2 linked regions of the Arabidopsis thaliana genome follow. The protein of the gene in region 2 interacts with the protein of the main gene of each other region in a pairwise test. Each region holds a gene or a part of one and is shown on either strand. Other genes may lie near its edges.

Region 1 (6,777 bases), on a different chromosome or scaffold from region 2:
CAGCTCGTGTTGTAGTAGTAAGTTAAATATATATCTGCTTGTGTTGTGTGTGAACTCATATTCTAAGACCATTACTGTCCAGATTTTTACAACAAGATTCTTTACATCTTTCAGGTGATAGTTTTGCAAGGGCCAGTGAACTTATGGAGCTTTTAACTCTAGAAAAATCAATGAGAGCTGCAATAACACTGGTTACCAAACTCAAGCTTCCTTTTTTGGCAGAGAAATTCAGCAGCATACTCGAGGTACTCTACAAGTACTTTCATTTCTTATATTTTGCACAAAAGAGAAGAAAAATTAGATACAGACGTAATGCTAATTTTTTGGTTCTTCACTAACAGGAAAGGTTGCTTGAAGAAGCTAGCGAGGCGGCGGTAACAAATCCTGCGCTGAATCCAAACGGAGAAGTAGTTACAAGAGTTGAATCCAAGGTCCAGAATCCTCCAGCTTCGATTCAGACTAGTGAAAACACAGAAGCAGTTATGAAATCTTCTGCAACTAAGCTATCTGCTCCTACACTTCTAAAGAAATCGAAAGTTTCAGAAGGTCTAAAGCTGGGAAAAGAACAAACAAAGAAAGACAAAAGTGACGATGCGAAGATAAAAGAGATAAAGAAATTGAATTTGAAGAATCCGGTGAACAATGTTAACAAGGAAGACAAGGGACAGGAAAAGGAAGTGAATCAAGGAGAAGCTCGACGTTCTTCAAACCCGTTCCTCAAATCAACTGTTTAATGATCTTATTTGGAGGTTTTGTTTTATTTAACAAGATTATGATGAATACATCTGTTTCACTTTATTAAATATTATGATGCTATAGCTGAATGATTACACAAACTTATGATACAGGATTAGTTTATATTACAATACAACAAGCTGTTAAAGAATCATCATCAAAGGCATGGTGAAACAGAAACTTGAACTGGAAAAATTCAGCAATCAGCCACCTGTTGAAGCTTTCTCGTTCTTCATGATCATATGGAAGGATTTGACTTTGTCTTCCTCCACGATTTCTCTAAGAACATCGTCCTCAATCTTCTCAGCTTGCCATTGAGATGGGTCCTCCACAAATTCTTCACTGAAAATCATACTGGAGACCCATTCTTTCCAGGTCGTCCTCCTGTATTTGTCTTCTTCAAGTGTTCCTCTCGACAAGAGCTGGTAAACGTACACCACTTTCTGCTGTCCCGGTCTGAATGCACGTGCGATTGCTTGCTTTGTCTTAGAAGGATTCCACTCTGAATCAAGCATGATCACCCGTGAAGCAGCGGTTAGACTGATGCCTTCTGCACAGGCTGTAATCGAAGCCAGCAGAACACGGGACTGGCCTCCTGGCTCTTCAAATTTGTCTATTACTCTGCCTCTTTCAAACAGCTCGAGATCCCCTGTCAAGGTCAGGAGCTCTCGGCCTCTCTTCCACCTGAATACATTCTCGAACAGCTCAAGAAACAGGCGGATCGGCGCAATGTTGTGACAAAATATGAGGATTTTCTCCCTCTTGACCACCCGGAACACAAGATTAAGCACAAACATGACTTTTGATCCTTTCTTTGCATCGTGCTTGAGCTTCTCAATCTCTAAAAGCTCCTGAGGGTTGAAGAATTTGGCGCAACAGGTTGTGGTTTTGACCAACCAAGGATGGATAGCAGCTAACGTTATGAGTAACTCGAGCTCGAGTGGATATCCATGGTAAGTTGACATTATGTTCTGAAGTTTGGTAAGACTCTTGTGCTGTACATCAGTGGAATTCATCAACAATGTGTAAATCTGCAAACCTGGGAGAACATCACCACTTCCGCTTCCACTCCCTTCATAGTTATCGATGAAACCACTCGTCATATTCCTCAACATGTTGAGACCCTGCAAGCGCTCATCGCCCACTTTTGTGTCAATCTTCTTGGCTATAATGTCAAGGAAGAACTTCCGAGCTCTATTTTCAAGCAAGTGAGGCGCCTTTTGCTCGGCTTGGTTGGTCTGGAACTTCTTGTCCAACTCCACTAGAACCTCATGAACAAACTTGGGTCTAGCCAAGCACAAAGTGTTGAAGTACTCACAGAAGTTGTTCTGAAACAATGTACCAGAAAGCAGAATCCTCAAGTCAGTATCAACTTTCATCAAGGCCTTTCGTAATCTCGACTTGGTACTCCTCGGGTTATGTCCCTCGTCTAGAACCAGTAATCCAGGAGACTCTCTCAGTACTTTAGCCATGTACTTTCTATGAGCAAACTTTGAATCTTCCCTCATCAAAGTTAGAAACGATGTGTAACCCATTACAAGAACACTCGGCTGTGCATGCCATTTCTGGATTTTGTCTAAACAGTCAAGAACATGCATAACATCTTGGCTTGGTTTTGGAATTCCCTCGAACTGAATGGTCTTCTCTTTGGACATACAGTAGGTTCTACGACCATGGAGCAAGTGAACAGGGACCGGAATCTCCCATTTGATGAACTCCTTGTACCAAGTGTACAAAGTTGTTTTTGGAGCAAGAACCAAAGGTCTTTTACCCGGAAATATCTTCAAGTAGCTCGCGAGAAAAGCTATGATTAGAAATGTTTTTCCTGCTCCGGGAGTATGAGAAACTACACACCCACCTATCTTATCTGAACTCGGATCCATCATCGCGGGAACCACTGACCCGGCTAGGTTCTTCCAGAGAAACTCAAAAGCTTTTTTCTGGTGCAAATGCAGTTTTCTCTTAAGCTGAGGTATTAAAGACCAGACATTGTCACTTTCTTCAGCCGATGGCATATCTGAGGAAGCAACTGGTATAGTGAAAGTATGGCTCTCAACTCCATCTTGGTTAACTATAGTAGTATTAATGTCATCTTCGTTGATTTGCTTAGTCTCCGTCGTCCATTTCTTGTGCCGCGCCTATCGAAAACCATACCACCAAAATATATTACAAGTAACTCATCGAAAGTAGGTGACAAAATGTTGTCTGGTATAGAGTTTCCACTTACAAAAGGTGCAGAAACATGTTTTATCTCAGTTCCTACATGACCACACAATCTGCAACACATTCCGATTTCTTCATTCAATTCATAGTCATGTTCACAATCACAGGTTGCTTTATGGAACGCCTCGTTATCCACTCTCACCTGAAACTTCAAATCAAACTATTAAACATATAAAAATGTAAGCTCATGGTCATCAAGAATGTTTTCAGGAAAATATAAAAAGATTTCCAAAAGGTATATATATATATAACCTCATGGTCATCAAGAATGTAAGAAGAAGCCAAGCATAGTTCCATTTCCCTCCATAGAATCTCATTCTCTGAAGTCTCGCCATCATCCTCCTCCTCCTCACTCAACCTTTCTTCGGCTTCGATCGAAAAGCTTGCGGGGTTCTTTAACCCTTGCCACTGCTCAACAACATTGGTTGCTTTGTCCTTGGCTGCAATTGTAGAATCAATTCTACTCATGTACGAGTCTATCAACTTGTTATACGCACCTGCGCTCAACGTTCTCTTCTTATAAATCTGCGGTTCCTCAGAAACTCCGGTTTCCCTAGAAACGGACCTTATTCGAGAATGCGGTCCATTTCTTTTATGAACCACATTCCCAATAGGTCCATTCCAACCTAGATCAGATTCCATCTCTTCCATTTCAATCTTCTTCTTCTTCTTCTTCCCGTATTTCGCTGCTTTACTACGATACTTATCGATCTCATCCATCAAATTTCCAGAGACACCACCACACAAACTATTTGCATTGAGACCAAACTGTTCCAACGGTATAGGTTCAAAGACAGGAGTGAAAGGAATAACCGAAAGCTCACAACTTCGACTAAATCCCTCTGTTTTCTTTCTCTTCTTCCTCTCAGTTTTGTCTACCAAAACTATCTCTCTCTGCTTATCCTTACTAAATCCCTTTTTGCTTCCTTTCTTTCTAAGTAAATGCGATAACGGTAAGTATAAATCATCATCAGTATCTTTATCATCCTCGCAATCTTCTTCTTCATCATCATCATCACTTGAAACATTCCATATGTTGTACCTATATGGCATCATCCTTACCCATCCATCCTTCGAATCCGGCTGAATCTCAGAGTCTCCGTATCTCTCAGGCCGCCCGCTTCTTCTCTTGGACCGACGCAGCTCCATTACCTCCTCTTCAATCTCCTCCTTTACATCACTATCTTGACAAGTATCCTCAGCTGGATTGAACAAAACAACCTTAGACATGACAACACCGTCTTCAACCGTAATGTTCATTGCACTCAAAGAGCTACTAGAGCCTTCGCAATCTTCATCCGTCACAATCTGATAAACCATCTTCTCGTGAACGGTTCTAATCTGAAACACAATGTTTTTCAAAACTGATGTAACAAGCAACCATGTAAGATCAGGCAAGAACTTCCCTAAGTTTAGTCTTGTTTTCACCAACGAAGAACAGTCCTCAGAGTATCTCCATCTATAGTAACGGTCCAAGCTTTGTTCCTTGCAAAACTTTTGAAGGATGGCGATTTCGTTGAGTCCCACGAGTACCGGAACTTTATTCATTCTATGCTTCTCCAAACCAATGCAGCCTTGGTCTATATAAACACTGACATGGAACGTACACAAGCATTCAGATTCATGAGGCTTCCTCTCTATAGATAAAACCCTTGCATCCACCCAAACCTACACCACCACACACACACACACACACAAAACGTTTCAAAACAGCAAAAATGCGCATAGATTTAAAGACTTTCATATTGAAGAAAGTGAATGTACTGGTTCTGGAGTCTCTTCATCTCTCTGATAAAGAACGCAAACATCGATACCGGGTCTTAAAAAAGAAGTACAGTCGATCAAAGTCGCCTTTCTTGATCTAATTCGAAGCCTCTGAAATGGTTTTATATCATCCAAAACTTGTCCATTTTCTAAGAGACGCATTGTCATCGTTCCATTCTCGATCCTTAAGTACTCCACGGCCTTCCATGTCCCCCAGCAGAACACCTCGAAAGCTACCACAACAGACAAAACAGAGCATTTTAGGTAAAGAAACAGCAGTCATTCAAATCTCAATGCATGACATTTTAGGTAAGAAAATAAAACATCAGATCTTGTAAAACACTTACGACATGGATTAAATGGATGGTTAAACTCAAAGTAATGCTTTCTCTTCATTTTTTTCTTTCCCTTCAAGATCACTTGTGGATCCACATATGATCTCCTGTAACCAATACATGTATAGCTTCATTAGGATTCATTCACCACTTGACAAATAAAAAAAAGATTCAAACTTTATCTGCAACTAGAGACAACCCAGAACATATATGATATATGAACTTTAAAACTTGATCATATTGGTTAATGTGCGAAAGCAACATTATTGTACTAAAAAGGTGTAAAACAGAGTAACAGTGTCGTATCAAAATGAAAAACGAAACATGATCGTCATCAACAACAAACAAAACCCAGATTGAAAAAACCACAACTTTATGATCAGAACACAAAATCAATATATCACCTTTGAGGGAAAAAGAGAGTTGATTCTAGTCCATGATTGACACTAAGAGGAAAATAAGAGAAGGAACAAAATATGATAAATAGAAAAGGGACGGCGAAGAATTCAATACCACACTCACGCAGAATCTTGGGGACAGTGTAGAACTTTTTATTTTCCCTTTTTGCATGAATTTGCGCAGAATCGATAAAAAGTGATAGAGAGAAATAAAGAGAGACTGAAAAATAAAGTGAGAGAAGAGGAGGGTTTAAGGAGTGAGGGTATTATTGTCATTTCCATGTACGTACTTCTTTATATGGGAAATAAACGGCTGCGATTTGGTCTGTCTTTACTATCTTTAGATTTTACTGACACAAAGAGTAAAAGCCAAGTTGTGTGCATGGTGGCCTATTGGGTCCACATTGAGATAGGTTTATAGGGAAAATATCTTACACAAATTCATGAACTTAACATTTAGTTTGCACAAAACAAAAACATTTACTTAGTTTGTTTTTTAATTATTATACTAAAATTAGTAAAAGATGAGTTTTTAATATGGTTTTGATATCAAAAAAGAAACTTTTATTTTTATTTCAAGATTCTAAAAGAAAATATCATTTAATATTTTAAAAAGTAGTTAAGGGTAACGGTGAATTGCTGTATTTTCTTTACTCCATTTCTAATTTTTTTTCTCTTTAGTTTTTTATTTTTCTGTTTAATATGTTGGAAGATCAAATATCTAGTTTTCTTTAGTAGATTTCTCTATTTTTGTTTATATTATTTTTCTATTTTATTTCTGACTCTTTTTTTAATTGTTGTATCCCTTACAAAGTTAATGCAAAACTGTTTTTTTTTCCATTAAATCAAACAAACACTAAAATATATAACATTTGGAAATGTAAATGATAGAGTTATTGTAAATCGTTGGATATGTAATGCTTTTGAACAAGGTCTATGTGAGCTTTATCTTATGCATAAAATATGAGTTGTTACCAGAATCTGCCTTAGTCACAAGCTAGGGAAGCATGTGTTTACGGTATAAGATATAGTTATTAATTAACCGTCATCTATTTTCCAAATATCTCTTATAACTATACTGGTTAATCGTTGGGTGATAGAACAATAGGTAGTAGGTTCAACTCTTACACTTACAAAAATGTTTTTTTTTTGATATGATTAGGCCTTTTTTGCTGGTGGCACTCAAAATGTTTTGGGTGGCTATGAATGTTCCATGATTTGATATGGATAGTAAAATATATAATGTTTAATAGAAAACTTTACTTAAATATCTTTTTCTCTTTTTAGCTTTAGCAACAGCTCTCACTAGAATCGAAAAGAAA
Region 2 (4,683 bases):
GAGATGGCTCAACCGGTAGTTCCCGTGTCTCCTTAGCTCTCTTGTTCTTGGCTCGAATCTTGTTGTGTTAACAAGTAAACAATGTGTTGAAAAGAGTGAGTACACATTGATTGTCTTGGAGAAACAGATAGGGACTGCTTTGCATCCATTACAAGCAAATGGATTCTTCTGTAGAAGATCTTGGGATGAGATATGTATCGAGAAAGCATTATTGAAAGTGTGATACTTGTTGTACCTTTGCTGTGTGATTGAATACAGAGAGCGGGTCGATAGTTATATTACTTTCGGCACAAAGATTTATTTCTTTCCAAATAGTTTTTGTGCTAAATGAGCTTTTTTCCACATCTTTATCTTAATAAGCCGAAGCTCACAAAATGTATTGACCTGCGTATTGTATATACAAGAAGCAATGAGTAAACAGAAAGAAATAGTCTTGCTCACAAGAATGAGACTGTATGTTGAACATTACATAGGGTGTTAACTGGTTAAGCATTTGGGTATTATTACATTGTACCATCACCATTCCCTTTACAATTCTAAGCTTTTGCACTTTATTCCACATAGTTGACAGAAAAAAACTAACATAGAATCCTAGGGCCGGTAGGTACTTAGTAGTGGAAGTCTATACATGAGCATGTTATTCCATTTTTGGGTCAGTCATATACTATATAGTCATAGTTTACTGCATCTTCCAAATATGACTTCAAAACCAAAAAAAATTACTCTTCAGGGCGGCGGCAAATTCTTTCTAGTCCCAGCGATTCCTGAACATACACTTAACACAAAACTTCGTCAATAGTTCCCACACCCAACAAAAAGGCTGAGATCAATCTTCTTACCTCTGTATTGTCAAGCTCGTAGCGAACAAGAAACACGCAGTTACATCTCGCGTGATCATGAATCCCTCTCTTGATATTCAAAACATGACCATCACAGTAGAGTGCTTGATCCTCTCTTTCCTGCTCATTAACCACCCCAACTTTCATTTTTAAGTTCAAATTTCTTTTGTTAAATGTTCCATCCTTCATAATTAGATCAAAGTCAGCCTTACTTGGAAACATAGAAGCAGGTCTCCAACGTTCACTCTCCCACACTCTGATGGTTCTACAGGAATAGACCGCTCACGCACTGATGTTTTGACGTTTACCCACTCATCGTGTCGGTTGTCGAACCCAGAAAACCGTACACGCACTTCCTGTTGCAGACACTCTTAGTTGCAAACAAATCATCCATTAAACAAAAGAGAAAAAGCTTACCAGTTCACCAGTGCGAAGAACTCTATAAGTAAGGAACGAAGACACGTCATACCTGAAAGACCAGAATTCCAGCAAATAAGCACAGATATAAAACACAAACGTATATTACAAGTCCAAAAATTAGGCTTTATATGAATAACGTTCTTTCTTAAGTTCACACTGAATAGGTAAGGGCATTCCTCGTTGAGTTAACAATCAACAGAGAGTTCACATTTCAGGTTCTTACTTAGGCCACTTAACAAAGTCATATGCTAGCAGTAGTCCAAGAGTTAAAGCAAAAATAGAAACATGATATTCAATGCAAGGAAACGTTCTTACCACGCGTAGTCCCGCGCTGATTTAGCCTCAAAAGCCAGATCAGCTAAATCAGAGGCCTTGCCTGTGTATGAAAATGTTCATAGGCGTTATAAGGCGTTAACTAAAAGAATCAAATATGGCACACAAGAAAAGGAAAACCTTTTCGTGTTTGAACAAAGGTAGAATTCCCAACAAAGGTAGCATTTGAGGCATTTGAAGCATAAGAACTGGGATTAGATAAGTCATGAATCTGCAAAGGGGGAGATGGCAAAGTTTTGGATTTTGGTTGGCTTTGATGCTTCAGCTTCTCCTGGAACCAAATCTGTACCTGAAAACATTTTGATTCAAAAAAAAAAGTTATTTCTACTCTATTTGCATTTTTTACCAGTTAGCTCTATGAAGAAAAAAGAGACGCACCTGTTTCCAGGTTATAGAGGATTTGCCATTCCGATTCACAGAACAACTATAAGAGAAAATGGAAGAAGACATAAAGATTTTTTAGATACTGTGCATGAAAATCAATAATCCTACTATTCCTATAAATCCACAAAATGCTTGTGTCTCGATTCTCTAACAAACACATTCACATGATCAAATTCTCGTAAAATTCAGAATAAAGTACCTAAAAGTAGAGGCAACAGTTTGACAGAAATCTTTGTGGAGAGATTGGTCACCGAGCTCCTTATACAGATTCTCCATGTCTACAATCTTCGAATAAGAAGAGCAATAAGATCACAAAGCATGAATCTCTAATCTAAGAAAACGAATGATAGAAAGCATAGATAACCTCAGACAAGGTAAACTCGGTGAAATAGTGAGAGGAATCATCGGAAGCAGCCATTATCGAGCGCACAAGGAAGAAGAAGAAGAAGTGAAAAGGATCTTGAGCTAATTTGCTACTACACTGATGCCTTCAGAGTTCAGTGAGCTTTAGTGGGTTAATGGGCCTAAAATGGATAATAATAATATAAATGGGCTTAAACTCACTAATTTATTACCCATATGCTTGTTTTTTGGACCGTCTATTATTTTATTTTAACCACACTCATATAACTGTACTATTATTTAATATTTATAAATGACTTTGAAACAATCGAGACAGGATGAGGGAACCCGTCCGCGGGGAATCTTCCAAGTCATATGAGCTGGTGGTGCGTGGTGGAGTGTTTATTAATATTCATGATTACTGACATTATTAATCAAATACTATCATAGCATGTATAAGTATATAATTTAATCACAGCTAATCCTCACTAAGGCTCTACCTTCTTTTGTTGGCGACAACCCAGGCCCTTATTTCTCCAATACAAGATTCGTTACTAAACATATCAAATATACATTATTGTAATTAGTTAGTTAATTACACGTGCTTTAAAGCATTTTAAACGCACAAATTTGAAAATGATGGCAAAGGCCCTGATTGATTTTGACCGAGACACAAACACGCAAACATAGAAAATTTAATCAGGGATTTGTACTCGGTTACATAGCTGTCATTCTGTGTTACGTATTAATTACGGTATTTAACTAATCACGCACGCAGTAGATATACTATAACTTTACTTGATTAACAAAGCTAATAGCATCCATAAATTGGGGTCAAGATGTTTGAACTCATAACGAGTTACTTTGACATTTGTAGATTGTGTGTAGTTGGTACGAGGTCTACTAGTAAGTCATAACCAAATATAACTAATCGTAGTAGACTAATTCAATTTCTTACATAAGTCCCAAATTTTCTATACCTGTTCTGCACTAATCACTCCTCTCATTCTTATCACCATTGGTCCATTGCCATCTCTTGAATCCGTCAATCTTTTATTAATTTAAAAAGGCCACCTGCTCTATTGTTGACAATAGAAGGTGAGGAAAAACAAAACCAATCAAGCCAAAAAAAGACAACCTGTCTACATCATTAAGCACCAACCTTATACAAACGTATAAATCGAATTTTTAACTCGTGTATGATTGACTAGGCATCCTTCATTTTCCACATGGGCCATCCTGTTAAAAGATGTTTCATTATTGCATGGATTACTATAATAATCACAAGAATTTAAAAGGCACAATCAAGTGGTGCTTTTCTTTATAGTTTTCATTGGAGATTGTGATAAAATAACAGAGAGCACCAGAGGGGGAGCTTGCACTCGTCATTGTCCCTTACTCTTTTCTCTCTCAATGCTGCAGAGGCACTGACAAACACACCATCTTTGCTTATCTCTTTCTCTGTTTTCTTCAACGAAATTTACATATCATCCGTTTCTTCTACTCACATATGGATCCTATCAGTCTAATAGTCTAAAAGAAAGAAGAAGAAGCACTTAACTTAATAGAAACAGGATCAAGATTCATAAGATCTAAAGATGGATTACGATCCAGCTCATGCTATGAGCAGAGGTGGGAGTATGCGGCAAACCATAAGTCGTAGTGTAAGCAAAGCAAGCAGAAACATGGAAGACATATTCAATACAAGCTCTAGACGAACCAAATCTGTCAACGAAGACGAAGAAGCTCTCAAATGGGCTTCCATCGAGAAACTCCCTACCTACAACCGTCTCCGCACAAGTCTCATGCCTGAATTAGGCGAAGACGACGTCTACGGTAACCAAATCCTCAACAAAGCAGTTGACGTCACGAAGCTTGACGGCGAAGAACGTCAGAAGTTCATCGACATGGTCTTCAAAGTCGCAGAGCAGGACAACGAACGGATCTTGACAAAGCTAAGAAACAGAATCGACAGAGTTGGGATCCAACTTCCGACAGTAGAAGTGAGGTACGACCACTTGACTGTGAAAGCTGACTGTTACACCGGTGATAGATCTCTTCCTTCGCTTCTTAACGCGGTGAGAAACATGGGAGAAGCTGCTCTAGGCATGATCGGAATTAGGCTTGCCAAGAAAGCACAACTTACTATTCTCAAAGATGTTTCTGGTATCGTCAAACCTTCAAGGATGACACTTTTGTTGGGTCCTCCGTCTTCCGGGAAGACCACGCTTTTGTTGGCTCTTGCCGGTAAACTCGACAAGTCTCTTGACGTCTCTGGGGAGGTAACCTATAATGGTTATCGCCTCAATGAGTTTGTTCCCATTAAAACATCTGCTTACATTAGTCAGAACGATCTTCATGTTGG

What was found.
Region 1: the proteins of SHH1 (region 2) and CHR38 interact in a two-hybrid assay, tested with the Arabidopsis thaliana proteins (one study listed by BioGRID).

Annotation. Positions count from the first base shown.
Region 1 is NC_003074.8:14,754,968-14,761,744, forward strand, and holds CHR38 (chromatin remodeling 38), read right to left. Parts: upstream 5,119-6,777; coding exon 5,070-5,118; intron 4,956-5,069; coding exon 4,723-4,955; intron 4,627-4,722; coding exon 3,211-4,626; intron 3,107-3,210; coding exon 2,963-3,106; intron 2,874-2,962; coding exon 939-2,873; 3' UTR 831-938; downstream 1-830. Other genes in the region: AT3G42660 (transducin family protein / WD-40 repeat family protein), read left to right, coding at 1-17, 115-245, 342-734. UniProt on the Arabidopsis thaliana protein: Probable chromatin remodeling factor. Required for the initial establishment of DNA methylation and for accumulation of 24-nt siRNAs.
Region 2 is NC_003070.9:5,235,807-5,240,489, reverse strand, and holds SHH1 (SAWADEE HOMEODOMAIN protein), read right to left. Parts: upstream 2,447-4,683; 5' UTR 2,395-2,446; coding exon 2,341-2,394; intron 2,262-2,340; coding exon 2,176-2,261; intron 2,017-2,175; coding exon 1,971-2,016; intron 1,882-1,970; coding exon 1,713-1,881; intron 1,636-1,712; coding exon 1,575-1,635; intron 1,309-1,574; coding exon 1,257-1,308; coding exon of another isoform or gene 1,233-1,256; intron 1,196-1,232; coding exon 1,052-1,195; intron 960-1,051; coding exon 777-959; downstream 1-776. Other genes in the region: CCMH (cytochrome c biogenesis protein family), read left to right, coding at 1-19; ABCG35 (pleiotropic drug resistance 7), read left to right, coding at 3,917-4,683. UniProt on the Arabidopsis thaliana protein: Involved in RNA-directed DNA methylation (RdDM). Required for the silencing of some endogenous RdDM targets and accumulation of 24-nt siRNAs, but not for the production of Pol V-dependent transcripts.